Linked DNA regions of Tamandua tetradactyla. The protein of the gene in region 4 interacts with the protein of the main gene of each other region in a pairwise test. Links are inferred from orthologs where the notes say so. Each region holds a gene or a part of one and is shown on either strand. Other genes may lie near its edges.

Region 1 (7,709 bases), on a different chromosome or scaffold from region 4:
TGGGTTCGTTTCCCAATGCTTGCCCATGCAAAAAAAAGATGATGAGCCCCAGGTAGATTTATACACTACACTATACACATCAACACGCACATCCAGAACCAGTGAAGAAGTAATGTGCAAAGTCTATGCATCACCTTGTGGTAATCCTTGGGAAGTGTAGCATCCCCAGCATCCTGAGAAAAAAATGCGAGCTGCACCTCAGTTTGAAAAAGGAAATATAGCTCCTATCTACAAAGGAAATAGAGCATACCAAATTTTGCTTCCTATTCTGTAAAGTACCTCTTCAGACACATGAGTAGATTACAGCGGCAAGCCACAGATAAGTAAAAAGAAAAAAAATCCAGTTAAGAATTAAAGGAACAGATACATTTGGCTGGGAAATAAAATCTGAAATGCATATATATATATGCGGCTACAGTGTCCTCGTCCAGGACTTACTATATTTCCTCAAGTCCTAACACCTCTAGAATTCCTTCAGCTGTGTTAGGCCACAAACTAGGTATTATAAAAGTCTTTAGTCTAAAATTAAATTTTGTTATTCTGAGAACTCATCAATCCTTAAAAAAAAGTAATATGCAGTAGTCTCTAAAATAAATTTTGGAGTCACGGGTAACATTTCAAGGTTGTTTTACTTGCTTCTCTTTCAAATATTTCAAGCCCAAAATAGATCTGGCTTTTGTGGCAGGTTTTGTTCCCCCTCACTGTGGTTTCTGATAATTATTTTACCTGACTAACCAAAACATGCAAGCCTTAGTCAACTAATGTTGAAAACAGACTTGAGAACCTCTGTGCATTAAACATATAAAGTCAAATTAAGTTTTTTAACTTAAATAAATATTTTCTATAATTTCAGTCCCAACAATTAGGACTAAAGAAGCAGTAAGGTAATTTTGTTAGGTCTGATAACGAGATTGTGGTAATTTGATATATCAAATCCTCACCAATTAGAGATGCTAAACTAATTATAAGAGAACTGTCCTTATGAGTGGGATTTGCTTTACAAACTCCAGGAGAGGGGAAAATAAATGGTTGGAGGGGGTAACAGAACAAGACTAGCAAAATGTTAATCTATATTATTTTTAGCTCTCCTTCTGTATGTGTTTTTTCTGTGTGTCCTCAGAAGCACTGTGATTCAGGTAGTCATTGACAAAATTAGCGAAAGCTTTGAGAATCTCGGGTTTGGAAATTATGAACCTTTAAAATTACGTCAAAATTTCAGTTCTACAGGACACAAAAACATCTAAAAAGGTGGGAAATGTCTGACACTTTGATAATATTTCAATATTTGAATGCATACAGAGTATCAACTGGTTTATAGCTCACTACTCCATCTGCCAAACCGCATTCCTGCAGATTCCCCATTTCCAGAATCCTTTACAGCTGAGTGTCATTACACTCTGCCCATGTGTCCCGAACACCAGTTATATTTACTTTTAAAAATTTTTTTTAAAGTTAGTTTCTAAAATGCTACGAATGCCCCACATATACTTGAGAGGAGGGACTTTCTATTTTTTACTAAAGATTTGGCCCAAAATAAGCTTTAATGAGCAAAAAGTGCATAAATCCCAAGTTTTACTTAGTAATATCCAAATTCCAAAAGAATACAATCTAATACACTCCACATCTGAGTAATTCCCCCAAACAGGTAATGAAGGAGCACTGTTAGGATCCTCAAAACTATTTAACATTATTTAAAAGACCGAACTTAAAGAGTTTCAAAATACCTGTTACTTTTGTTACGGGGAGAGTATTTACTGGATAACTCTACACAACTGTGATGTCTAGAATAGGATGTTCTTTGACATCTGAGAACCACATTGGGAAAAAAAAAACCTTAAGTCAAATTTAGTGTAATTAAGTAATCCTTCAAGAAATCAGTCTACAAGTTCAGATAAAAACATCGAAAGCAAGTCTGGCCTCAACCCCTTCTCTATAGCCGAAAAGGGCTTTGAGGGCAAGCAGCCCACCTTTAGACCAAAAGGGTGTAATATAATTTATTAACAGGGTGATGTAGACAAACACCCACATACCAGCTAAGCTCTAACAGTGGACTCGAGAAAGCATAGCTCCGGAACTCTTAAGACACGGTCGGGACTTGTTCACCACCCGCGGGGGAAGGAAGGAGAGTTGTGAAAACAAAGAAAACTTTGACTAGTCAAAGGAAGATGTGACTGTCCTCTAAAGACTTTTTTTTTATTTATTTATCTCTTCGAGTACTGGGAGATGAGGGGTGGGGGAATTCATAAGCAGATTTCGAAATTCTGTAGTCCAGGTGAAGTAGATCCGGACCGAACAGCTAACCCCGCCCGCGGCCCTACCGCGTGGGCGGTACAGGGGGAGTCTCCGCCTCCTGATCCACGGGTGACTAAAAACAAATTCGCGAGTCTCTGCCGAATCAAAGGCGGCGTCCATCCCAGACCTGACTTAGATGTTATCCCAAGCTTACCGATACCGGTAGCACACACAAGCCCTCAACACAGCGTCATCCTAGAGTTGATCCTTGGACAGCATATTTTTTTCTCCAAGAGCCGCACAAGTCACTTGTCCCGACCAAAGGGCCCACGTCCCAAGTCCCAAGGCCTGTACGCTGGCCTCCCCCGCCGTGGAGGGCGGCCACTCAACGCTTTTCCAACTCCACTGCTAATCGAAATCGCTCACACACCCCGTCACAATCACAGTCCAACAGAAAAATGTTTGTTCCCGGGAAGAAAAGCATCGTCATCACAGAGAACCAGTTCCCTGAAAGCTGCCAGGCCCCTAGCCTGCAGGGGCTGAGGGGCGTATCGCGAGTCCCAAAGGGGTTCCAGCTGGAGTCTGCCCCCGCAAAAGTCGCTGGAGCGGACGGAGAAGGGCTTACCTACTGAGGGACTCCCGGGCAGAGGAGGAAAGTTACAGAAGCTTCCGAGCCAGAGACGCCATCAGGGGCCGAACCTCTTCCGCCAACAACACCTCCCTCTACAGACTAACAACACTTCTCCTCAAAGCCCAGAGCCGGCGTGACATCACTTCCGCCCACGAGGCCGTTCCTTCCGCTGCTGCGCGGTACGTCCGGCCGCCATGCTTCGAAGCGGAGCCAGCTGTTTCAGCCTGCAGGGCTGCTCGGCCTCGGTTCTCGGTTTTACAACTTTCGTTCAGAGGTTCACTTCAGAAAATCAGGCTCCGTTTTTAGCATTTGCGGGTTTTTTTTAATTAGTGTTTTAATATGCGAAGTGGGGAAACATACTGGAAAATTAAGTTAGCGAAATAAAGGGTTACCCAGAGGTATGTGAGTTATTGCCTGGATCTTAAAACTCTGTCTAAACTAATTCACTTATAGATAAGGAGAGAGAGAATGACAGAGGTGAAGAGAGCGACCGCACATCTAGGGCTATAACCCCTGTGGCTCTCCCTCAACCCCTGCTCCTGTTTCTTGAACTACCAAGTTTTGTTAAGCGCTCCCTTTCTCCGAGGAGCTATTTCTCTAGCTCCACTGGCCTCTTAACGCCCACATTTCTGTAGTAAACTGTTTTTGTTATCTGTATTATTTTGTGTGCGAATTTTTTCCTATGTTTTGTTAAATTATAATTGCCTTATATGATGTCCTTTAATCGCTTTTTAAACTTTTATCTTCCCTTCCTATAGTAGGCACTCAGATTGAATCCTAACTCCGCGGAAGCAAGTGTGCCTGTCGGTACTCATCATATTCCTGTATTTATTTCCATAAACACTGAAACAGTGTACAGTATCACCAACGAAGAGAGGATGACAAATTAGACCGCATTAAACGTTGAAGCATCTGCTAAATAGAAAACATACACATTATGTATTTGCATGTAATAAATTTTCTATTACCCATTTTCAGTTCATGAAACCAGAAACCAATATACTTAATAAAAACCACAATTCAAAACAACACTTTTGTGAAGGAATTTTTGTTTTGTTTTGTTGTTTTTAATAATAATGTCTAAACAATTTTAGACCTTGTTTTCCCCATGAAGTATTTGTTTAGCTACTTTACTTTGCTTTATTCCTTTTAATAACAAGTCCTTGAATTTTTAGACCATGTTTCTCCCATCAAAATAAATACATAGCCTCACAATATTTAGGTGAATTTTTTTAATTAGCCTGTTAACAAGTAGGGCAGTGTGCTAGTGACTATAAGAGACATGGGGCCACAATTCTTATGTGAAAGTCTTGGGCCAGGTGTAATTCAGAATTTTTCAGGCTTTAGAAAGGTATATTTCGCATTATGTGACACTCCTACAGGGTCTAGAGGCAACACCTCATAATCAAATTAATGATTTTTCTGTGAAAATTGTAAGTATCAACTAAGGATAAATTAAGACTGTAAATAGTCTGCCTTCAGTTCCAGTTGTTCAGATCAGGTTTTACAACTTTACCACCATGTATTCAAATTAGATCAAGTTTTCTTGACAAATGAGTTCAGGCCACAGCAAATTTTGTCTAGTGAAGAAACATTTGATTTTCAGAGCTTTTTGGATTTCAAAATTGTGAATAAGAATTGTCGACCTGTTAAAAAAATTATTGGAAAAGGTATCAATCAATTTTTCTGGAGTAATTACAGTTTCAAGTAGTTTCTAGCCTGTTGTCCTGACCTGTTTCAAACTACCTATTGTGTGTTTTGATTAGGAAAATAGCTGACCATATCTATAGGAACAGTTCCTCTCTTATAGGAACTCATGATAGTAAAGGGAAGAAAAGAAATTAATCCATGAAAACCTAGGTGACTAAAGTAGAAATAAAATGCTTCAGAGGTAGGAGAATCATTACAAGCTTGTGTGAGCAGTGTACTTTTCATAGAGGAAGCAGGCCTACACTGTTAAAGTTAGGCAGGGATTTGATGAGGTGATAGGAGGAGGAAGACTTCCCAATTATGATGGGCATAGGAGTTAGAGGAGAGTTAACAAAAAATAATAATTCCCATTTATGAAACATATAGTGCTTTCCAAGCACTGTGCTTGAAATTTGACTTATATCGTCTCCATTCCTTGCAGCAGCCCTGAAAGGTAGGCATTAGCATTGCAGTGGAGTGGAGCTCAGAAAGGTTATATAACTTGCCAGTGATCACAGAATGGGTTACCCAGACTGGAACTCATTTTTGTGACTCCAAAGTTCATGCATTTCCTACTATGCTCTGATGCTTCTTGATGAGTGCTTTTTTGGTCATTTACTTTCTGTTTGGTTTGCTAAAGTTGCCAAAATGCGCTCTACTAGAAATGAGTTGGTTTTACAATGGGGATTCATTAACTTCGAAATTTACAGTTCTAAGACCATGAAAATGTCCCAATCAAGGCATCATCAGGATGATACCTGGACTCTGACGACAGGCTACTGGCAATTCTCAGCATCTCGGCCAGCATGTAAGGCACATGGCAGTTCTGCTGGTCTCTCATTTCTCTTCTGGGTTTCTTTTCTTTAAGCTTCTGACTTCTCTGTCTGTGGCTTTGTTTCTCAGCTTTCGTGTGTTTTTCTCTCTCAGCTCTCTCTCTCTTTCCTCTTTCATGCTTTTATAAGGGGCTCCACTAAGACTATTAATTAAGACCCACGTGGGGCATACCTCAACTGAAATAACCTAATCAAAGGTCCCAACCACAATAGTTCTATACCCACAGAAACAGAGTCGCTTTAAGAACATGATCTTTTCTGGGGTCCATAAAACCTCCAAAAAAATCACACTGTGTGGTCTCAACTTGTGCTAGGTGCTTGAGGAAAACAAAAAATAAAGCATGGTTTCTTACTCAAAGCTACCAGATACCTCTCTGATAATACAAGATGATGTCATTAAGTGTTAAATGTATAGGAAATGGACTGCAAGAAGTAAAGTAGAAAGATTGATGCAGAATTATTTGGGAATTACTGACAATTTAAAAAAGACTGGACTCTAAACTTTGAAATATTAACAGAATTTGAAAAGGTGGAGAAAAGGCTTGCTGGGTAGTGGGAGGGTGGATAATGTTATTAGAAGGGCACAAATGAGGCAAATAAGTGGTACAGCATGGGTTAAAAATTAGAAACTAATTCCAATGGGCCTGTTATAGAAATATTATAGGTTTTAAAAGCCAAGTAAAATGAGTTGTTTTCATTTTTTAGATCAGAGGTTTCCCTTTGAGTTTGTATTAAAGATTCCTTTTGCTACAAATGATTCTTTCCTTTTAAAGTAAAACATATTTAGAAAAAAGCACCTTTTTTTTTTTTTTTTCTTTTGCCATGGGCAGGCTCTGGAAATCAAACCCGGGTCTCCAGCATAGCAGGCAAGAATTTTGCCACTGAGCCACTGTTGCACCACCCTAGGGAAAAAGCACTTTTAAGGATGGGATTTGAATAATGGTAGGCTTTTGATAGAGAAGTCACTATAAACAAGGTTATTTATTTTCTCTTACTCGTGTGTTAGGAGAGGGTATGGATGTACTCCTTGTTCCTTATAGTTTATTAGCCACTACTCTCCCAGATGCTGGTAGAAGGTTGCTTCTTTGATTAACACGATTCAGTTTTATTCACCTTTTCCCTTCTTGTTGCTATCATCTGCTGATCTCCACAGCACTTGTCCTCATTTATGGAAGACTATCACCTTATGAACAGTCTTATTCTTCATTCCAGGCCCTTCAGGATGAACGTTCCAACACCCTGGCCTTTTTATTTCTTGAATCCCTTGTCTTCAGTGATCTCCACTCCACTCCAGATACCTATATTCCTGTTTGTACCTTGGACCATAACTGTTCCACCTTCAAAATCAAGCATCCTACACCAAACTAATGCTGATGAGAAGATTTTCAGCTGTTCCAACTTCCCCTCTGGATACCTTCCCTCTCAACTTAAATGAAGTAGAAAGTTTTATGCCTATCAGGCAGGGCCTACACCCCATGAAAAGTCAGAGCAGCTATAGAAGACAGACCCTCATCCTTCAGCAACCCTTAAGATTAAGAGGCAATATCCTTTAGTGTGCCGCTCCCCACCCCCCACCATCATTTCAGGATGAAAAAGTCAGAATACGTATTGCCCAAAGATTCGTATAGATTGGGAGAAGGACCAAAGGAGAAGGAGGAGGTATAGCGAAGAGAATAGGATTTAACAAATGAGTATGACTGCTGAATCACTATATTAATATTCCTTCTAGCTTCCAGTGTCTAAAGTAGCTAAAAGGAAAAATCTGAGATGAGGGAATGGTAGCCCATGACAAACTCTGGGATTTGTTCAGTAACTACTTGTTGAAGTGTGCCTTGAAAATAATTTTTTCTTTCTTTGCTGTGTATATATGTTATATTTTACAATAAAAATGGTTTTAAAAAAACAATGAGCTCTTTATTCCTAAAGACCACTCTAATATCACAACTTAATTGTAACAATTTCAGAAAGTGTTTTATTAATGATATAAAATATAGCCTACCTGTGTGTTTCAGCTTCTTTTTCTTTTCCCATTTGTGTAGGATGCTTTTCTGCTTTAATAAAATTTCTAATCTTTAAAAAAAAAAAAAAGATTAAGGTGAGAACTGTCTCACCTTAAAATTTAATAATCTTATTTATTTTAGTAAAAAATAAAATTTCTAATCTTTAAAAAAAAAAAAAGATTAAGGTGAGAGAGAAGGGAGGGGGAAAACCCTGCATGGAGCCCTCAAGCAATGATGGTAAATCAAGATCAGGAGGACCAGTGTCCTACACAGACAACCTGCCTGCAGCTACCCCTTACAGGAAACGCCCAGTGGCAACTGACT
Region 2 (7,361 bases), on a different chromosome or scaffold from region 4:
GGGAAAATCTGAGAATAAGGAACTGCAAGTAAATGAGAATCCTCTTGGCAGAAAACCGTGTTATTTAGTTATAATTTGCGTTGGTTCCCAAAGGAGATAAGGCGGTTACCAGGACTCAGGGTGGTACTCGGTCTTGATGAACGGCACCCGTAGAGGCTGTAACAATGGGCATTTAATTTACTTAGTCATTTCTAAATAGCAAAATACTTCCTTGTGGAACAGTATGCCTTACATCTACTAACCTTTGATTTAATATTATGAATTCCACTACAAGATAATTAAGACAGGGTTATGCAGGGATGAGTCTGGCCCTGGGACCATGGAATCAACAATGCCTTCCTGACCAAAAGGGGGAAAAGTAGTGTAATAAAATAAGGCATCAGTGGCTAAGAGAGATCAGATAGAGTCAAGAGGCTACACTGGAGGCTGCTCTTATACAAGCTTCAGTTAGAGTGCAACTGCCATTGTTTGCTAAACCCCAACTGACATCACTTCTGTTTATACTTAAAAACACGTAGGGCTCAAAGTGAGACTCTTATAAAAGTATCCTGCACTATGTTTGCTTTCCTGGAACCTATAATTCCCAAAGGGTTCCTAGGCCAGATAAATCCTGAAACCCAGAGGGCCCAGCCTCTGCAAGATCATCAACTAATTACATGCTCCTATCCTTTAGTGTTGATACCCCTTCTCAACATGAAAAAGTCAGCATGGGCATTGCCTAAACATCTCTATAGACTGGTAGAAGGCTTAAAAGAGGAGGGCACAGTGCAATGGTGGCTCAGGGGCAGAATTTTCGCCTGCCATGCCAGAGACCGGGGTTCGATTCCCAGTGCCTGCCCATGAAAAAGAAGAAAAGAAAAAAAGAGAAGTCATAACAGAAAATAGGATTTAATAAATGAGCATGCTGAATCAGAATACCAGTATTTCTTTTGGCCTCCAGTGTTTTGGAGCAGCTAGAAGGAAAAACCTGAAATAGTGAAATGGTAACCCATAACAAATCCTGAACTCTGTTTCATAACTACTTGTTAAAGTGTACTTTGAAAATTATTGCTTTTCTTTCTTTTCTTTGTACTTGTTTCACAATAAAAAACATTTTCAAAATATAGGGTTGTGAAAGCTTTAGGAAGAGGTTAAAATTGTAATTTTTCTGCACAGTGTACTTCATGTTGGAGACCCTAATAAGTAGCATTTAAAAATTAAAACAGGATACATGGTGTCTTAAGAGGACTTGAGAGAAAATAATCGTTTTATTGTTTTGAAAGTATGGTTAGCGGTGATACAAGTCCACTAATAACATGAGTGCCACACTGACAGAGTAGAAGGGTTACATTCTATGTTTTCTGCAGGTTTTCCCTTATCAGGGGAAAATAAAAAGATGTGCTGATGATTGCAAATTGAAAAAATGAGATGACTGCAATAATTCTAAAAACGCTGTATCTAAAGAGCTGTAAACATTGTTGACATAAACAGTGCTTTAAAAAAACTCACTTAAAATGAACTTGCTGAAATGTAAGACATAAACACTTGAGCTTACAAAATTTTCTTTTTGCTTTGAGAAGTGAGGGAGGAAATGAAATCTTGTTAGTTTTAGAGTAAGAGTCAAATGTAGAAAAGGATATTCTAATACCACACCATAGGTATTTGCAGAATTTATCACCTCCACTCTCTGTAATAAAATACTGAGCTGGCAGTCTTCAATTCTAATGTGCATCAGTCTTGCCTTAAACATTTTGTTCACCTATCTTCCTCCATCCTTTTGCTTCCTTGGGGAACAAATAGTTTCCTGACCACTTGTGCATTCTAAAAGTCCTTGTCTAGGTAGTTGGATAACTCGTATGCTCAACTAAAAAACCCCTTTTCTCTAGAGGAAATACCTGTTTTTTTCCCCCCAGCAATTATCTGGAAGTTCCAAAGATAATGGCTTGTACTGGGGGTTCTAGGAACACTTTGTATTGACTGATACTTTATCTGGTAATGGGTTACTTACTATACTCCGGGCCCTATACTTTGGTCTGTTTCAAATGTACAGTCTCTGTATTGAATTCAGTCTAGTATTGCTAGTTGACAAGTAATACATAACGAGGCCTTTACGTTTCAAGAGAATTAAGTTCGATCTCTGCTAAGAGATGAGATTTTATGTGGATATGCACAGGAGTCTTTTAGCAACAGTTACTCAAAAACGCAGGCCCCGACTCTCAGTATTCATACGATTTCCTAAATATGCCCTTCCGAGAAATGTATTTCAACTTTATTCTAAATAAAATGCATTACGCAAAGTCAAGAACAGCCGGCCTGAGTGGGGGGTACAGGAGGTGGCAAATGGCACGGGTTAGGGTCACCAACGAAGCCTCCCGGGTTGAAGACGCCTTCCCAGGGGCGGCGCGACCCTAGGCTCCCCACGGCAGGGGCCAATGTTGCCCCCAAGGCAGTGTCTAGCCCTGCCGAGCAAACCAGGGCCGGGAGCCGGACAGGCGGCCCGTGGGCGGGGTGCGGGGGTCCAACCGCGACGCCCCGGACCGCTGAAGGGCGGGGAGGGCGCTCTCGCTACGTTGGCCCCTCACCTTCCACACCTCCAGGCGAGGCCCGGTTTCCGCACTTTCCTCCGATAGTTCCGGCATCAGCGCCGCACCCGGCAAAGCCTAGTTTAGAAGGGCGCCCCCGAAATAAAGCAGGCGGAAGGGTGCGCGGAGGCGGAGGAGAGCAGAGCGCAACCGGCAGCCGGCGCCGCGCCGAGCTCACCCCCGCGCCGGGTTCCGCGAGCCGGGCGCGCGCCGCCCGCCTGCTCCCCCTGCCCCGGCTCTCCTCCCCGCTGCCGAGTCGGAGAACGCAGCGCAGGGCAACCAGTTACCTGCGGGAGGGTGGCGGGGGCAGGCGGCGGAGGGTCTTGGCTCCGGTCCCCCTGTTGACACCAACCACCCTCGCCTCCCCCGTGAGGCTGTGGCCACTACAAGTACAATCTGCTGGAGTCTGTTGCCTCCGACACCATAGAGATGGGCCCGGAAGCGGGACAGATGGCCAACCCTCACACCCCCGACACCAGCACGGAGGCGAACGAACCCGGAACCGAGATAGAGCGGCCGCAAAGGTGATTCTTAGACAGGTGCCATCTTGAGTACGGGCGCCGGTGCCGACCCTGGTTTGTGCACTTCCTCCGACAGCCTAGTTGGTCTGTGAAGATTTCTGCTCTCTAGGCCTTCAGGTGACTGCACAAATAAGTCTTGATTTTTTATTTTTAGGGATAACCGCGCCGTTTTAATTTTATTTCCGCCCTAAACAAATATGGCTACCAGCCTCCTTTTACAAATAGCAAAGGGGCGGAACGGAGAGGGGAAAAAAAATAGAAATAAGGAAATTGGCGATGATTGGCCGCGCTGCGTGGGCAGATACAGCTGTAACTGACAGAGATCGTGGGGATTCCGGCTGAAACTTAGAGCGTCAAATCACTCTTAATTCAGCAAAAAGTGAAATTGGGAATATTCATAGTACTTAATACTATTGAGAATTAAGTGAATATACGTAATGGTTTAAAAACAGTACACAGTAACCACTCAATATATGATCGCTATTTTTTCACGATCTTTGTAGTCGTCATTACTACTACATAATGCTACTACCGCCTTAGAGTTGACAATTGGCCTAAATCAATTGTTCATGCACAACTTTTAGATCCTTTCTGGTGGATAACGTTGCTGGGTAAGTTTCAGCTAGATAATTTCTTCAGTAGATTAAATGAAAACAAATTTCAGCCCAAATTTGCCTCTTAATCAGAAATGTATTAAACGAATATTTATTAGAAGATAGTCATGATAGTTAATTTAACCGAGTTCTCCATCCTATAGAAATAAAATGTGGGCCCTATGTGTAGTTTCACATTTTCTAGTAGCTGCACTAAAAATAATAAAAAGAAAGAGGTGAACAGTAAAAAGAAGTTAATTTTAATAGTATATATTAAACAATATATCCAAAAGATTATAATTTAAACATGCAATTAATATAAAAAATCATTGATGAGATATTTTAAATACTTTTTTGGTACTGTCTTCAAAATGCAACATATATTTTTACAATTTGGACTAGCCACATTTTAATGCTCAGTGATCAGGTATGATTAGTAACTAACATATTGAAGAGTTCAGTTCTAGGTGGTCTGACCACCACCTCCATTAGAAAGTTCAGAAGCAGAGGTAGAGTGCTGTAGAGACAACATCCTAGCACCATCATAGCCAGCATCAACATCCAGCAACCAGAAATCCTCTAGACTAGTGTTACAGCTAAGTCCATTTGGAGATGAGGCCTTGGATGGAATCCCTAGTGGAAAAAATTCTTAGACCTTGTTTATTCAAGAATGGAGACCATTCTATAGACTATTTTAGTGAATCCACATTACTTTTCATTGAGACCCCATTCCTAACTTTTATCATGATAATTAAGAAGCTGCTATTTTAACCAGTAAAAACCCATTTCCTACGTTTACCATGATATATAGAAAAACATTTGGTGTCATCAGAGGTCAAGTTGGTTGAAGTATTTGTAGACCCACTTCCAGAATGTAGCCTTTCCGGTATGATGCGCGCTAACGTCCCCTGGAGTGTAGATTCCCGACTACTGGAATGCAGGTTGCTCGTAGGGCATAGCTTCAATCAATTAAACCACACTGAATATTACGCTGTTGATAAGGAAGTAATTTGAAGTCAGTCACAAGCATGATGACACCCATATGGATGTTGTAAGGAATACTGGCCTACTTTGCAAACACCATACACATTTCTCTTGCAGCTTGATGTTGGAATCTGTGTTTATTCCACAGATATTTAATGCATACACTTTTTGTGTCAGGCACTGTGCTACCGCATAAGAAAAGAAAGGGAGAAGACACAATCATGCAGAAAATGGGGTTCTTAGAGGGGTGCAAATATGACTTAATTTTTTTTTTAAGTGATTGGGGATGTTTGAGTAGTTTATCCCGAGGCATTTTATTTTGGTTTTGCAAAGTGCCCTGCCACACCACCGACATAGAAGTTCTAAGCTAATGTGCATGGTGCTGGATATGAGCTAAATGTCTCTACACCTTCCTGATTCTCCTCACGCTTCTTTGACAGTTAAAAACTATGTGCTAGCTTCTGCTCTTGGGAACAGACATTGGGGTAACACACTGGTGAACAAAAAAGACAGTTCCCTGCTCTCACATCTCAGTTGGGAGCTAAGGGAAGAGATAGATAATAAGCATATAATTGGACAAAGATAAATTCAGATAATGGTAAATGCTATGGAAAACAAAACAGGGTAATTTAGTAATAATAATAGCAGCTAACACTTATTGAGCACTTATTATGTGTCAGATACTTCGTGTGTGCTAATTCATTTAAGCCATATGGCAACTCTGTTTTACTGATGAGAAAACTGAATTGCAGAGAGGTTAGGTAAGGGGTACCACAGTCACACAGCTGGTAATGATAGAGAGAAATTTACCTACAGATTCCATGTTCTTGATCGCTATGCCTTACTATCACACTGCTGCGATAGCAACAGGATGGGAGGGAAGAAAACAGGGGAGGGAAAGGTAATTCTACTTTAGAATAGAATTCTAAATAGGACCAAATAGGACCTCCAAGTAGGACCTCTCAGAAAAGGTGATTCTTGATCTGAAAACTGAATGACAAGGTGGGGTCAGGTAAATGAAGATCTATGGACAAAGCATTCTTGACACGGAGAACAACTGCAAAGGTATGTTTAAGGAATAACAAGAAGGCTGGTGTGGCTGGAGTACACTAAATGAAGGAGAGAGTGGTTTTTGAGGAGGCCACGAGAAAGCATTCGGTAGTATTTAATATTTTAAACAAGAGAGTAATACCTGGCTTACAGTTCAAAAAAAATCACACTAGCTATTATATGGAGAATTGATAATAAAGAAGTGAGAATGGCAACAGGCAGACCAGTTAAGAGACTTTTGCATTAGTTTATGCAGAAGGTAATAATGACATGGACTAGGAAAGAAGGAGTAGAGGTGGAGTTAGGTGGACAGAAACATATTTTGGTAATAGAATCAGTGGGATTTGTTAATAAGAAATGAAGTGAGGAATCAAGTTTGCTGCTTTGTTGTTTGGCTTCCACAATGGGGTGCTTGGTATAAACCATACAGGTTTGTTCCACATCAATGCGCAACTATCAGGTCAGTTGATGGATATAAAAGTTTGAAGCTGAATGGAGAGTTTAGTCAGGAGATATAAATTTAAGAGCCGTGGATTCATGAGGTCATAAATGTTGTGTCCTTCAGCTTCATCATCAACACTGAGGAAAACAATTAGAGCACAGTATATGAATAAATAATCTTTAGAGATTACTTTCTCTCTGTGCAAGATTCTTTGCCCATTATTCAGTGATATGCTGATAAATGTTTAACAACTGCCGCTGCAGGGTATTTTGTGTATGAGTTAAGAACCTTCACAGCGTCAACCCCTGGTCGAGGTCTTGACTTCTAGAATTCCTGGAGCTCTCCTGCATCTGGCCGCGAACTCCCAGGGTTCTTTTGCATCAAGCTTATTAAACTATCTAGATGTACCCACTAGTCTTTGAATTTTTTCCTGTGACTGAGTCCAGAATCCTCATGGCGCCAGCCCTTGGTTGAGCTCTCAGTTTCTCCTAGAATTTCCAGGCCTGGCCGGCATCAGTGGTGTAGGGCTCTGGAACACAGTGGCAACTCAGTAAATATATTTTAATGAATCCATTTATTGGGAGGCTGGTATTTGAGCCAGGCTTCTCCTTTGCCTCTTTGCCTCACATTGTCCTAAATGTCTCGCCCTCCTAATTTTTAATCTACGCACCTTTATATCTCTCTGGTTCTGGTTCTGAGACCCCTGGAGCTTCTTTCTGAGCTCTTTATGCCTTCTTCTTTCTTTTGCAGAGCAGTCTTGCATTCTCCACTAATCCCACACTACTCATTTCACATATGCCCATGGCCAGGAAAGAAAAGTCTCCAGCAATCTGGATGCACTCTCCTTTGTATATGGCCAGTCAATTATAAACAAATAGTTTTTTTTCTATTACAAATAATTTTTCCCTGTGATAATTTAAGAACCAACTTGAATTTTACCTTTTATCAGTGCTCTTCCTAACTCAAATCACAATGTGCCAAATATATTATATTTAGTTTAATTTTTAGATTGTCTTTTGGTTAATTTCATTCATGTTTCTCACTTAGGCTCCCAGATGAGCTGTGAGCATCTTGGAGGCCCAGCACTCCTGATACTTCAAAAACATTAATCACCCAACTTGAACTAAAATTTCACAAGCTCTTCCTAAAAACCAATAAGGATAGTAAGAATTATGGCATTTCCATTTAATATACTACTTCAATAGTTTGT
Region 3 (7,504 bases), on a different chromosome or scaffold from region 4:
GAGTATGGGTTTGGTGTGGAGTGGAAATGACACACGATGGACTTCAAAACTGTGAGATTGGGGTCCTTAGTGGAATACACCCATGGGTATACCAAAGATGGTAAAAGAAGTCAAGGACTTGACTCAAGGGCTAAGAAGAGTTTCTCACCCAGGGGCCATAAAAATCAAAGCCTGGAAATAGAAGTGGCTGGAGTAGTTAAAATCTTAAAATGTTCACAGTGAAACATCCATGTGCCCCTATATTATTAGAGAATTATGACAGTTGGTCCACCTTAAATGATGAGAACCCTTGAACCCTTAAATCTCTCCAGGACACACCCAGTAGCCTTCCAATCATGTGAAACAGGAAGATCCATTTGAAAGGCAGACTTAAAAACAGTACCAGCTTTTCCCACAGCTCTTTCTTTCTCCCCAGATCTGTTCTGGCATCCCAGACCTTCACCTTATAAAATGATTTTCTAGAAAACTGAACTAAGCTAAGACCCTTTCTCATGTATAGCATTTTAAGATAGAATCTTTCTCTAAAATGATCCCCTAGCTTCTCAGAAAATGCTACCCAGCCCTCAATGAAGCTGAGTTCGAATCCCATGCCCCTCACTCTCCTCTCAGTTTTGATGGCCATACCACAGCCCTCCCCACCCTATTTTCCCTTGAATCTCCAGTTCTTTCTTCTCCAGAGCTAAATAAATGCAAATCCTTCAACATCTTTTTTGAAATTTTATGTTTCAATTTATTAACCATCTATCAATCCTAATGCATTCCAACTACAACCTAACCTTTTTAGCTATGGGTTTAAATGAACTGCCATCTCAGTAGGTTGGTATTCCAGGATAATGTATAACTCTTTCCTTACATTTGTTATCAAACTTAATCTCTAAATACATGAGTGGGATAGGAAGATGGAGGATATTCTTATGACCATTATTTTATCTAACTTATTTTGTAGTTTTAGCTGAACTTAGTCTCATCTAGCAAAATATGATTCTGGATATATTTGGATTTATGTACATATATGCGCATATATGTATCTCTATTTACCATAAAAAGTCCTATGGTAAAAGGAAAAGTCCACATATACATGTGAGTCCTTTTCCCCTCACATGTATGTCTCCCAAATATATTTGAAAATTCTTACTTCCATTAGTCTGCAAGGCCATATAAAAAGTTGTAGAGCAACTAAGAACTATTCACGAACTTAAGACTTCTGATGTTCACCCAAAAACAAGCACCCAAATATGAGACGAGGGTGAAGAGAGTTGTTTTCTTCCCAGCATCCTCTTTTGTGTAACACTTTTTGTTTTACAAGGCCTCTGTACCAAAGATATTATAATAACTGTAATTATGGATATCTTTCATTGTCTTCTGGTTTTCTATAATCTCTCTAATGAAGATCAACCCTGAGATTAATATTAACTTGGACAAATGATTTGCTCTTTAAATGTTCCCCCTTCTGCAGCCTTCACTTACCACTGACCAAATTCTTGTAATATGTGATAATTATGAAAACCAAGAATACCAAGCTACAAACACTAATTGTAGGTGAAAACGAGCTTTTAAAATGTGCACTTGAAGGCTAAAATTATGGTTTTAAATTTCAGAACATAGAGGGGGGACAAACTGATATTTCCAATTAAAAAGAAAAAAGATAAATGGGTATTTTTGTGATGATGATTTCCCAGGAGAAAGATTGATGCTTCTGCAGGAACAGCTCTTAAATTTCACAATAAATCAACGGGCTGTTTTAAAATTAGAGTCAGACTAAGAAAATAAGCTCTTCATCCTCTCAGTGCCCTAAACAGGGACATCTTTTCCTTATTTCACAGGAACTTCTCAAAGCAGCTTCTTCATTCTCATTGGGTGCATTTCTAAAGCATTATATCTCCCAAAATTGACATACATATGCCTCACCAAAATTAAGAATTCTTCCCTTTACTTTTTTTTTTTTTTGATAGTGTCTAAAATCAGAACCTTAGTAAGCAGAAAATTATCATGTATGTGGATACATCTAGAGAGATTCATTATTGGAACCTGGCAGCAATAAAATTCCACAAAAGAACAACGCAAGCTTCAATTTCTCATGGGGTAAAAAAATAAAATCCAAGAAATTTTTGTAAACCTCCACAGTCAATATTTTAAGAGAAAAAGCATGCAATGGCTTAGTTATAAAAGTCACTGGTATTCTAAACAAACAAGACGGCATTTCAGTACTAATCAGAATCAACAACCCTAAACAGTAGGGTTCATAAGCCTTTACATCAATTTGATGAGTCACAGGAAATTCTAACCTGCTTTCGGTGCATTCAGTGGGCCTGAAATTTATCTTATGAAATATTTGCAAAGGGCAAAAAAAAGAAAAAGAAAAAGAAAGAAAGTATGCCAAAATGGCACAGGCAACCAGGCAAAAGTCCATGCAAATGAATTTGTATCATTTTCAAGAGACCCTAAAATTCACCTTGATGCCTCACACCTGGTACCTTTCCCTGCCCATTCCGAGTTTTTCGGCGAGGCCATGGGCCTCCAGAGACTCCCCACCCCCCACCAGACGCCTCTGGCTGCTCGGTTTCCTCTGTGCGAACTTTGAAGCCACCCACCGAAAATCTCCCCAAGGAAATCGTTCACCTCTTCTAAGAGGCCACCCTCTTGGAATGGCCCGGGAACCCTGCACCTGGAGGAGCCCTTACTACCTGGCGGGCTGCCCCACAGCCCTCCGCGCCCGGGCCGGCCCCCACCGCGCCGGGACCCCGAGCTCACCGGATGATCACGAACATGACCAGCGAGTTGCCCACCAAACCCACGACGAACACCACGGAGTAGACGGCGGTGATGATGACCGGGATGGCCGGGGAGATGTGCGCGGGCTCCGGCGGCGCGTCTTCGGCGCCGGCGCTTCCGTTGCCTTCTGGCTCGGCCCAGCCGGGAAACCAGCTGCTGCTGTTGGGGAGCAGGCAGGCGCTCGGGGCGCAGGAGGGGCCCGGGACCCCGCGGAAGATCTGCACCGGAGACTCCATGGGTGGCGGCTGCGACTAGAGGGCGAGGAGGGCGGACCCTGCGGGACTGGGGAGAGCGGGAGTTCGGGCTGGGCAAACTTTCTCCGCTCCCGGGCCAGCTAGAGCCTACGGATGGAGACCCGGGACGCTCAGCCCCTATGACCAGACAAGGAAGACCGGCCTCCAGCCGCCCTCCCGGCCACCAAACGGGAGAGCGCTCGCTCCTTCACCCCAGCTCCCGAAATGCCGCCACCCCCCTTAAACACGGTCCCCCGGTAGCATACTACCCCAGACTGCCAGCCCGAGCCCTTAACGGACAGGGCATCCTTGAGTCCCCATGAACCCAGAGCCCGCGCTTCCAGGGCTGTGCCTCCAAGGTCCGGCGCTCACCTCTGGCTTCCCAGCGCCGCGCGGGGTAGTCCAGGGAGGCGCCCCGTCCAGTCCCGAGCCGCGCGCTCCGGACACGCCCCGGGACCGCTGGGTCCTCGAGGTCGCCGCGCAGCTGCTGCTCCTGCCGGCTTTCAGCCCCAAGCCGGGTCCACACTCTGGCCGGAGGACTCAGAAGCACTCAGTACGGCCTCCGAACTCCGCGCGCGCCTCGCGGGACTGGCGGCGGGACTGGTGGTGGCTCTGGGCGGGCGCGCGACGGAAGCTGGGCCGCGGCGCCGGGCAGCGGGCGGGGAACTCGCCCGGCACGCCCCCGGGGCCGCCCCGCCCACTGCAGCCGGGGTCCGCAGCGTCCTGCGCCGCTCGGGGTCGCTTGCGGGTGGTCCAGCAGCTTTCCGCGCAGCGTAAGATCGGCGCGGGCATTTTCTATTTAGTAGTATGTGTTTGCATTATTACTAGTGTGGCTAGAATTTAGTGTAGCCGTAGGTCTCAGGACTCCATTGCTCTGGGGTACCAGGGAAAGCCCTGGCTTTATTTGAATGCCCTATCCAAATAAAGCAGGCAAAATGATCCTGTTGGAATAAGACCGGCTCAGAAAATATTGGTGATTTAAGACACCTAAATAGACTCTTTCTGTGCATGCTGTGCCTCTCCTTTTCCTCTGCCTGCCTGGACGACCGGGGGCTGCAGACTGCAGGTGGTCGTACCCTAGGAAGAGTAGAACAGGTTCCTAACCCGGTGCCAGTAGGTAACACTGACTCCTCTTAAATTAATTCCCTGCGGCTGTCATGTTCTCCCTTCTCCATACATCACCACAGGCTCTTCTTTATCTTTCCACAAGAATCTGAAGCCCGGTAGAGAAGTTTAGTCGCGGCCATTTCTTTCCAAAGTTCTGCGAGTCCAAGGATGGTTGTCCGGTTCTGCTGGGTGCAAGAGGCCCTCAGGGCAAAGGGACCAGCGTGGCAAGGGCCTGAGGTAGAAAAACCAAAGGTAAGCTGAAGGAGCTGAGGCCCCTGTGGTGTGACAGGTACTCCCAGCATACCTGTGGGTAAGAGGCAGAAAGAGCCGAACTGAGGAGCCAGGGCTCAGCCATCAGAGTGTAGATTCTGAACGAAAGAGTTCAGATGTTTTAAATAATTTCCCTGTCTTCATTTAGGTTTTGGAGGTAGGAGGCAGGAGACCAAGGGTTAGGAACCCTAGTTTACAACGTGCTTCTGGACAAACACTGGTGCTCCACTTCTCCCCACCAGCTCATGTACATGCCACCATGATGCCTGGTAAAGCTGACCAACCCACTGACTGGCAAAATATGGCTCCTACCTCTTTCAGGATACTGAAATCCCAAAGGAGAGTCTTCCCACAACCCTAAAAATACGCTGCACTTCTGAGCAGTGGAATTTGAGGAGCAAAAGGAAAGCTTCCCTTTGCAGAACAGTACCCCTTTAACTCTGAACACCTAAAAAGTTTTACAAGTTAGTATTATCTCTTCTTGGTTACTTTCTTTTAAGTCTGATTGCAAACTTTCATTAGAAGGTGACATTGTGCTTTAGCAGAACATGGGACTGCTGGGGCCTCTGGCATCTGTAGGTTCCCACTCTACCAAGATGGCAAATTCAGTCTTCTCTGCATGTCTGGAGGCTCATTACCTATCACCATGACCACATACTACCAGCCAACCCAGCGCACAATGTTTGCCTGAAGTTTACAAAAATTGAATAATATCTGAGTCAGAGAGGAAAATAAAAGGGGAATATAAATGAATTGTTGGGCTGTATGAATAGTATGTCAGAGTCCAGAATTATCCATTTCTCTATCTATTCATCTATGATTTCATGCACTGAAGACTTTTTAGAATGTGTCTATTTTCTCCATCCACCTTTTGCATTTATCACATTGGTTGGGTTTTTATTTAGAATACAGGTGCTTCACACAGCTGGGAAACATTCATCTGGACTCAAACACACTGTTTCTGGCTCCTGTCATATGCCAATTGAACTGAATTAATTTAAGTCAGGGGACAAATACAGAGGGGCTCTCCCCCCAAAGACAAAGCAACTATAGGATGGGGATTATTTAGCAAGAACAGAAAAGAAGAAAGGAAAGGAAATGGCTTAAAAAGAATTAGGTAAAATTTAAGGAGGTGAAAACTTTAAAGAAATTTCCAAATTGATAGAAGTCATACAGTGCAAACTCTCAGCTTCCCTTTCACAGGAATGTAAATACAAAGGGCTTTTATTGAGAAAATACTTCTCTAACTATAAAGCAGGATGCCAAATGCAGACTGGGATTTTAAAACTATAATATGATGTTTTGATTTTTATCATTCTGAATTAGTTGAGACAGTCTTTTGAAGGTAAAGCAATAGTGAGTATGATAAAAGTCATTTTGTTTCATTAGAGCACACCCTAGTTTTGTTTTGGTTTTAAAAATATAATGGCTGAAATAAAGTGAAGCAGAAGTGGGCAAAGCAGTGAGAAGCCTGCCAAATGCTGATTTCCAGGGGAACTGGGCCAGTCTTTTTACACACAAAGGACAGCTGCTTGTGTGCAGCCAGGTTCCTGGGAATATGAGATTTTATTATAATATTGGATAAAAGTGTACAAAATAGGAAGAAAAAATAGACTGCTAGAACATTATCTACTAGGCATACACTGATATGAAGCATATATCCTCCTCAATGGCAAGCACTGTGCTTATAGATATAAGTAAATCACCTCAAAGCTAAAATGTATTTTGGTTATTTCTAAGAAGCATTGTTGTGGGGAGGGAGGTGATGTCAAAGCCTTTGGCATTTCTCTTATGCAGACTAGATAAGCCACCTGCAAACTGTGATCAACTCACTTAGGCAGCACAAGCCTTACTAAACCAGGTCATCTTAGTCATCAGATATTTTCGAGGGTCCCAAGTTGCAGATTCAAAGGCAGGCCTTGAGGTTTCAACAATATACAAGACAGATGAAACCCCTTCCTAAGTGGGATGTCCAATCTGGTGTGAGAGACCAAACTTACATTTTAAAAAATGATATAATTAATCAATTAACAATTAAATACATTCAACTCTGGTAAGTACCATGTAGGAAAGGGCAAGTATTTAGTAAAACAGCTCCCCTTTTTCAAGAAGCTTCATTCCTCTCTGTGAGAAAGCTGTCATAATAAATAGTCAAGCCTGCCTTGGGTTTGGCATAAGGACATCCTGTCAGACACTGACCACTTAGGCAGTGTACAACCTGCCCATCTTTGTTGGGGCCCTGAAGCAGAGACCCTTACTCAGTATGAAGGCACAAGGTACACTGAAGCTGGAGAGATTGTGTGATGGTTATGGGGCGAAGAGAAAGAAAGGGGCCATTCTACACAGAAGACTACTGTATTAGTTAGGGTTCTCTAGAGAAAAAGAATCAACAGGGAACACTCAAATATAAATTTATAAAAGTGTCTCACATGACTGCAGGAACGCAGAGTCCAAAATCCGCAGGGCAGGCTGTGAAGCCAACGATTCCAATGGAGGGTCTGGATGAACTCCACAGGAGAGGCTTACCAGCCAAAACAGGAAGAGCCTGTCTCTTCTGAATCCTCCTTAAAAGGCTCCCAGTGATCAGATTAAGCATCATTCATTGCAGAAGACAAGCCCCTTTGGCTGATTACAAATGGCATCAGCTGTGGAGGTAGCTGACCTGATCATGATTTAATTCTATGAAGTGTCCTCATCACAACAGACAGGCTGACACTTGCCCAACCAGACCAACAGGTACCACCACTTGACCAAGTTGACACATGAACCCAACCATGACAACCACCTATGTGAAGGACATGGGTGGGAAGACATCAGGAACATTTGTGGAACTGAAAGGAGGCCAAGGGCCCGGAGCCTGGGAATCAAGGGAAGCACAACAGAAGATAGAAAAACAGATGGTCCCACACTGGGCCTTGTCAAATATGCTGAAGATTTTGGATTTGGGCCTCAGAAGAAGAGGGAGCCAGGATTATCAAAGTGAGAAGTGATTCAACCCCAAACAAGGCACTTGCTGAGAAGATGGGGAGGAGATGATAGTTTCAAGAATCATTTAGGAAATTAAGTCTGCAAGACTTGTGGTTTGAAAGAATTTGGAACTCAGGGAGGAGGAAGAGCCAGGA
Region 4 (7,779 bases):
CCAAAATTAAAAGGAAAAAGTAGGAACAGCTTCATGGAGAGATCAGTGAAAGGCCAACAAATGAGATGGACATAAGACAGCAGAGTTAATAAAATCAAAGGGGGACAGCGAGACTGGTATTGTGTCTCCCCCAAACTCTTGAGCTCCTATCAATAAGAGGTGACCACAAAGGAAGGAAGGCAAAAAAATAGAGCAGCCTGCAAAGGCAGGGCAGGAAATCATTAAGGCCTTGATTTAGAGTAAAAGAGTTTAGGTTTGCAGGAATCCCAACTTATTTCTCACTTACAGTGGACCCTCAGGCTTAGAAGCTTTGCTTCTTTAGCCTCATCTATTAAAGATAGCTAATATTCCATTGGGTTGTTAACAAATTAAAAAAAGACACATTCTGCAGGCTCTTAGTTTCCTGTTGTCACAGGTTTGCAATACACTGTAGCTATAAAGGCAATTTCAAGATCCCATGAGCTCCTTCCTTCCAAGGTATAAGCACACCTATTCTTCTCAATGGTAGCTATAAAAAGATAGTGACCGGGTCTAAATCCAGGTTATGCGAGCAGCCAGGGAATGAGATTACTCGAGTAACACCTATGGTCCAGCTGGGAAGGGCTTTAGAAATCATTTACTGGAACCCTACTTTCCCATAAATAGGGTCACTTGAGCACAGTGAGATTTAGGGTGTTGACTGAGAATACAGGGAATTCCTGTAAAGCCAGAACTACAACCCAAATCACAGTATTAAGAAAGCATATAGCTCTTCTCCCTGCGTCACAACTGCAGGAAAGAGGGCCATCCACTGAACCGGTAACAAGCGGTAGAGGTCTGGCACCGGTTAAAACATAACTAGAAGAAGCCAGAGAGCTGAGCCAGGTCCATGGTGACTTATTTATTATCACAAAGTAAAACATTTACAGAATAAGAACAGGTGATCATATGAAACATGAGGGGTAGATGATTGAAATGGGGAGGGCTTAATTTTGAAAAATTATAGGGGGATTTTAACTAGCTTTAGGAAAAGGTACATTTTAGAGTTTGTAACTTAGGCAAAACTATTGGCATAGAGCCTCGTATTTAGTGACCCCTGAAAAATTGGCATTCTGTTTACCGGCTTACTTTACCAGCACCATACTACCTTGTGAGCTCTGGAAGGTACAATGTGAGACACACAGTGTGCACTTAATTCTAGTTAACAGAACTGTATTAGAAATTGAGAAACAATTGGAATGGAATCCTGACCAGTAACAGACCAGCAATTTGCAAGCTTCCTAAGTTACTTCATTTCTCTGATTGATCTGTAGAATGGTGGTTATACCACTGTGAGGACTAACTGAATATAGAGAGCACTTAGAAGACAGCCGGGTAAGAGATAAGCCATCAATAAAGGTGAACTGTCATTTTTTAATACTTCTATCAAAGACGGAGATTAGAATTAGGAGAAGCTTTTAAAACAGTCCCCCCAAGGTCCAGACAGCAGGAAAGTGATTTGTGAAGGACTCTTTCCTGAGTTATTACTCAGTAGCACCCAATTTCTGGGAATGGAAAGGCCTTAAGGGCGCCTCTTCCTGATAGGAAAAGGACTACCAGGGGTTTCTACTGTTGGGCTAGCTAAGGCCCAACTCACCTCTGGTAACTGTAAAACAATGAAATTGAGGTTAGGACTGTAGACTAGGTTTAAGGAGAACATGCAGGTCAAGAAAGGACATCAGATAATTGCAATTCCTTTACTTATACATTACATGTAAAACGTCTCCCACTGTCCCTGCCTGAAGGTGGCAGGTAAAGAGCACAACCTTAAGGTCGCTGCTCCTCCATCTCCAAAATCTACCACTCTTCTTCCTCCTTCCATTCCGGCTGCGCAGCCTGTATTCGAGAAAAAAAAAACAGGCAAGTGGGCGGGGGAGGGGGGAAACGGGAAAAACACCCGGATGCTGAGGGATGCCTTAGTATTTCTCTTCCTCCTCACCGATCGCATTACTTTTAACTCCACATGCCAGGTTCCGCAACAGAGAAAAAGAGGCTTCGGTCCCGCTTTGTTGTGTCCAGGTACAGTCTGATCAGAATTAAGTAGCGGAGGGAAGGCTGGCCTTTCCCCACACAAGCCCCTGGAGCCAAGAATAATGAAGCAAGAGGGCTGCTGCGCAGAGAACGTGACCTTGTTTTCCCCGCCACGTCCGCCTGGTGGTGCGCTCCCCTTACCGCCCCCTTTCCTAATGATAAAACACAAGAAAGAATCCACTGGCTTCCCATTCTTTCCTTCCCAAGCCGGATAAAACGAAGGTTAAAGCCAACTTCGCTGCTCCCGTAACAATATCCCTGCGCTTCTAAAGGCTGGAAATCAAGGGCCCCAACCTAATCACTCTCGCATACAGGACCATATTTTGTGCACATGTCGGCCTTCGTATCTGAATAATGCTGAGTCACTCGAGACGTAGGCTCGGCTCCAAAGATGCGATCAGCTGTAAAGATGGAAACGGGCCCTGGGGATATAGGTTTTAAAAGGTCGGCAGTCTGAGTGTCCACTGGCTCCGAGACCAGCGAACGGCGTCGAGGGTTAGTGATTTACAGGGACCTCGCGTCTCCCTCCTCGGCCTGGGGCAGCGACGCTTCACCACAGCCACGCTCGCCCCGGGAGCTTCCCAGTCCCCTCCCCCCCGCTCCCATGACACTCACTGGGACCCTGTCCGGATATTTCTTCCGGATCTTTTCGCCTTCCTTTTTCCGATACTCGAAGGGATGGTCCTCCTTATACTGGAACTTCATGATGGACCGCAGGGTTTCTGAGATCCCCGCTCGGGCCCTGCCTCCCTGGCTGATGGTCGCGTCTCTCGAGAATCGTTTCCCTGTGCCAAATTTCACTATAAATCAGGATCGCTTCGGAGACGCCAGCTCCCGCCGCAACACTTGGCAGAGCGATCGGAAGGGATCTATGCTCCCTTCGCCTGGAGCTAGGGGACCGCCAGAACAGAAATCCCGGCGGCTTTCCCGAAGGGCACGGGACGCAAAACAACTCTGCGGCGCGTCGGTATTGCGACGTCACGAAGTCCCGCCTCTCACCCCGCCCCAGCGTCCCGGACCTCCAGGAATAGGGGTGGACATAAGAATTGTCTGTTTTAGTGTATTTTTTTCCATCTAAATTTTTCCTATCTGGATTACATAGCGTAGCTAAGACAGTTTTTCTTATTGTTTTATTGTGACTCTCATACTGACCGTCGTTTTAAGACGAAACGAAAAGTGTGTTCTAAAGATGACTTCTTCCCTTCCCCCCGCTGCCTCTTGGTAGGGCCCCAAAACGAATAGAAAGGGCTAAAATCCAGCCTTTTCCAGCGAGCTGGAGTCAGGAAAAAGAGGGAGGGAGGGCCTGGCATCCCATTGGCCAGTGCAGATGTGTCCCGGGTTTGCCTTTTGCCCTTTGCCCATTTAATTGGACCTGCCTGCGTGCTAGGTTGGCTTCCTCCCACCAGGGCCTCTCCTCCCTCAGGTTCGCTTCAGTTTTGATTGGATGAATGCCACAACTTGCTCCTAGAGTGGCGACAGAAACAGAGCGTGACTCAGGAATTTGAGATGTGTAAGATGAAGGGCATGAAGTACAACCTAAATCCAGGGAAGAGGTGATGCCGGCAATAACTACTAAGGGCTGCACGCATGCCCCAATACAAAAGTGATGCACTTTCTCTTACAACCCAGAATTGGGCCCGGCTTCAAGAAAAGAAAATTTCAGCCAATTTAAATTATTCGTTTAGTGGCTCTCGAACATTTCTTTTTTCCTTCTGCGAAAATTCATTTAAAGGATAGTACGGGTTATTTGTGTTTCAGGGGAATAGGATGAGACAGGAGGAAGGATGGTGGAAGACTGGGCTGTGAGGCAGATGCGAGTGGCGTCTCCAGAGGGAGAACCAAAGGCCTAAGACTTTTCCACCTGCTAGTGAAGGCGGCTATTCCTGGGATCCGTCGCACCGGTGGGGGGGTGGAGGAAGGCGGTGGTACTTGCAAAAGATAAGGAGTGAGGAAAGTATGCTTTTCTCTGAAAGAGTCTAATGAGTTATATTTTTAAAGTTATTTACAACGGCAGTGTAAGGAAGAAGTTAAGGTGAGAGCATGACTGATTACTGAATCATTATATAGATATTCCTTTTTACTTGCTAGTGTATTAGAATAGACAAAGGGAAATACCTGAAATCTCTGAACTGTAATCCAATTGCCTTAATTTCTGATAACGATTTATTTTATGACTAAAAACCTTGTGACTGACCTTCCCTTATACACCCTTATCCTGTGTTTCAACTTTAGAGCCTTATGATCACTAAAGATAGCCCCTAATGTTTATCAGTGGAACTAACCCGCCCAATTCCAAGGCTGTCTTGATAAATAGAGCTGAATCTAAGCAGCCTATACCTCAGAATACTAAAAATCACACCCATCAACGTATTAAGGCAGCCATTTTCTTACATAAATTCTGTGACTAAGCATGTAAGCAATCTGTGCATGCTCTATAACTAGATCATCTCCAGTCACGTGCTCATTATCTTAAAACCAGCTCATCATTTGACACTATAAAACGATCAGAATTACTGCAGCTCAGGGAGACCAAGTTTTTAGGCCCCCAGCCCATCTGATCTCCTGCTTCCTGCCTAGCAATAAACCCTCTCTTTGAAACTCAGGACTTGGTCATTTGAGTGCTTGGGGCAGAGAACTCACTGCTTTTGATGGCTTTATCATCTATATTCTGTTATCAGGGTTCCAATGTCTCTGATTTTAAAAAACAAACAAAACTAAATTTTATCATAGAAACAAGGAAAATGAATTGGAGCCCTGTAATTAAAAATTTAGGATTTAAGGAATGATTTTGACTACTGAATGGTTACATAGATATTCCCTTTTGGGGGGGGAGGGGGTGCTTCAGAACAATTGGAAAAGGTCTTTGCTTTTTTTCCTAGAGGCAGCCCTTTGGCAATTTTCTGGGGCCTTAGGGAAATTCCAAGGGCGGTTTCTTTCAGATGGCCAGGTTTGCTTATAGTAATTACAAAACTAAGATTTTGAATTTTGCAGTTCAGAGAATTTTTTCTCCTTATTTACTGTTTTTTTCTTTCTACTTCAGAAGAGTATTGATTTATATAAAATATGTTTAAAAACTACTTATTTCTTAAGCATTTCCAGTAGAGCTTTCTTAAAAAAAAAGTTTTGTTACTTTTTTTTTACATTTCAAGTTATAAAATAATGCAATGAACAGGCAGACAGACACAAATAGAAAATTAGTTACACAAGAAACAGAAACACAGAAATACATTTGAGAAGGCCAAATAAAGACAAGATAGAGCAAAGAAAGCAGGGTTAAAGCTTGCTATACCTTCAGAATTCTAAGGAAAATGAATTCCAGCCTAGAATTTCATACCAAGATATATTATCATTTAAGTGTGAGAGTAGCATAATGCATTTTTAGCCTTGCAAGCTCTCCTAAAATTTACTTCTTGTGTGCATATTTTCAGTAAGCATGTCCAAAATGAGGGAAAAAAACAAGGAGAAGACACAAGGTATATGAAACAGGATTTAACAGAAGATAGGTCAAGGTAATCAACAAGATAAAAATGGTTACCACTTATTAAATACTACATGCTTTACATACGTATGTGTTAGCGCCCATAATCCTCAATAATATGAGATAGATGTACTCATTTTACAGATGAGAAAATTGAGGCACAGACTAAATCAAGATTGGAAAGATAATATGGGGCAGAGCCATTCTTTTAAGCCATAAAGCCTTATTTCAAACTCTTGTTAGTGCCCTCTTTCCTGCTTCCCATAATACTAATATAATCAAAATTATGATGTAACTATATTTAGAAGCTGGAAAAGGGGAACAAGAAATGCTCAGAAGTTTGATGGTAACAAAGGTGAGGTGGTGGTGATAAAAAAAAATTAAAAGGCTGAATTCTCAACTTTTAACAATGGAATGTCAATAGTTTATGCCCCAAATAACTGAAAATAAAAATCTAGAATTGAAACATATGCATAGAATCTGTAGAAGTGTCCATTAAATAAATCAGCTAAAAAGTAGGGGGCAGAAAATATGTGTGTGTGGTGAGAAAGTGCTATTTTTCTTCACAAGCCATATAGAGCTACTTAACTTTATAAAATCACACATTTGATTAAAAAGAATAAAAATTAAATTGACTGAGAAAAACCCTAGAATGAGCTGAGAATTAACATCAAGGGATTGAGAGAACCTTCTCGGCCAAAAGGGGGAAGAATGAAATGAGACTAAGTATCAATGGCTGAGAGATTCCAAGCAGAGTCCAGAGGTTATCCTGGAGGTTATTCTTACGCATTAAGTAGATACCACCTTGTTGTTCAAGATGTAGTGGAGAGGCTGGAGGGAACTGCCTGAAAATGTAGAGCTGGTTCCAGTAGCCATGTTTCTTGATGATGATTGAACAATGATATAGCTTTCACAATGTGACTGTGATTGTGAAAACCTTGTGTCTGATGTTCCTTTTATCTAGCATATCAGCAGAAGAGTAGAACATATGGAATAAAAATAAATAATAGAAGGAACAAATGTTAAAATAAATTTAGTTTGAAATGCTAGTGGTAAATGAAAGTGAGGGGTAAGGGGTATGGTATGTATAATCTTTTTTTTCTGTTACCATTTTATTTCTTTTTCTGTCTTTTTATTTCTTTTTCTAAATTGATGCAAATGTTCTAAGAAATGATGAATATGCAACTATGTGATGATATTAAGAATTATTGATTATATTTGTAGAATGGAATGATATCTTAATGTTTTGTTTGTTGTTAATTTTTTAATTAATAAAAAAATGAAAAAAATTAAATTGAAAAATAAAAGGGTTTTTCAGTTTGGTGTTTGAGGTGAGGAAATTGACTTTAGAACGTAGCCCAGTCACTCAGCTCTGGGCAGGTTATATTACTTCCTTGAAGCTCGGGGAACAGAGTTTGCAGAATTAAATTAGGTAATATACCAGATGCATAGTAGCCATTCAAAAGGTTGTGATTACTCATCCATTATTTGAATCTTGATGAGCTTTCATCCTCTTTGAATTGATCTGCTTTGGTATTTACTGAGGAAAACATAATCAGTTGAAAGGTGACTACACAGATGCTGAAATACATGCTTTAAATTTAGTCTGCCTTATTTCGTAATGTTGCCTAGAACTGGGTTTTTATCCTAAACATTATAGAATTGTTGTCAGAGGGGATGGTTCAGTAACTCTAATGGTCTCGCTGTCTGCTGTCTTTTTCTCCTTTTATTCATCTAGTGATATCCAAGGTATTTTTCAAGATACATCACATCATCTCCTTTCCCCCTTGAAACACTTGCAGTGCTTTAATTGAATGTAGGATAAAGTCCAAACTACTTAATCTTACACATAAGCCCTTCCATAAAAATACACCAACCTATATTTCCATGTTCATTCCTATTATATCACTCTTGGAATTTTTACCCTTCTCCATGAGGCGCATTGTCTTTTTTCCCTATCTTCACTCATAGAAAGAATACCCTTTTATTGTGTCTTTGGCTTTTAAAAGTCCATCATCCTTTAGGGTTCAATTCCAACATTGACCATTTTCATGACAATGTGTCCAAAATATTAAAGTTATAAAGAATTTTGAGGTGGGAAATAGTGCGACTCTGGGTTAACCAAGGTGAAGGAGCCAAGGGAATATTGGCCAAGGTTACTCAGAGAGAGAATGTCAAATATTTTCCACAGTTGAAATCCCAGTGCATCTTGGACAATCCATAAATCACTGAAATTGTTTTCCAGTCAGTCT

The links.
Region 1: the proteins of GABARAPL1 (region 4) and TAX1BP1 interact in binary tests that used the Homo sapiens proteins (3 or more experiments, as listed by UniProt). The link is inferred for Tamandua tetradactyla from reciprocal best matches to the Homo sapiens genes GABARAPL1 and TAX1BP1.
Region 2: the proteins of GABARAPL1 (region 4) and SCYL3 interact in binary tests that used the Homo sapiens proteins (3 or more experiments, as listed by UniProt). The two-hybrid records come from large-scale screens. The link is inferred for Tamandua tetradactyla from reciprocal best matches to the Homo sapiens genes GABARAPL1 and SCYL3.
Region 3: the proteins of GABARAPL1 (region 4) and OPRK1 interact in binary tests that used the Homo sapiens proteins (3 or more experiments, as listed by UniProt). The link is inferred for Tamandua tetradactyla from reciprocal best matches to the Homo sapiens genes GABARAPL1 and OPRK1.

What each region holds. Positions count from the first base shown.
Region 1 is NC_135327.1:95,382,543-95,390,251, forward strand, and holds the start of TAX1BP1 (tax1-binding protein 1), read right to left. Parts: upstream 3,009-7,709; 5' UTR 2,858-3,008; intron 1-2,857.
Region 2 is NC_135330.1:23,700,801-23,708,161, forward strand, and holds the start of SCYL3 (protein-associating with the carboxyl-terminal domain of ezrin), read right to left. Parts: upstream 3,009-7,361; 5' UTR 2,849-3,008; exon of another isoform or gene 2,795-2,848; intron 2,753-2,794; exon of another isoform or gene 2,562-2,752; intron 1-2,561. UniProt on the Homo sapiens protein: May play a role in regulating cell adhesion/migration complexes in migrating cells.
Region 3 is NC_135332.1:96,695,559-96,703,062, forward strand, and holds the start of OPRK1 (kappa-type opioid receptor), read right to left. Parts: upstream 3,009-7,504; coding exon 2,752-3,008; intron 1-2,751. UniProt on the Homo sapiens protein: G-protein coupled opioid receptor that functions as a receptor for endogenous alpha-neoendorphins and dynorphins, but has low affinity for beta-endorphins.
Region 4 is NC_135333.1:72,652,259-72,660,037, reverse strand, and holds the start of GABARAPL1 (gamma-aminobutyric acid receptor-associated protein-like 1), read right to left. Parts: upstream 3,021-7,779; 5' UTR 2,755-3,020; coding exon 2,665-2,754; intron 1-2,664. UniProt on the Homo sapiens protein: Ubiquitin-like modifier that increases cell-surface expression of kappa-type opioid receptor through facilitating anterograde intracellular trafficking of the receptor. Involved in formation of autophagosomal vacuoles.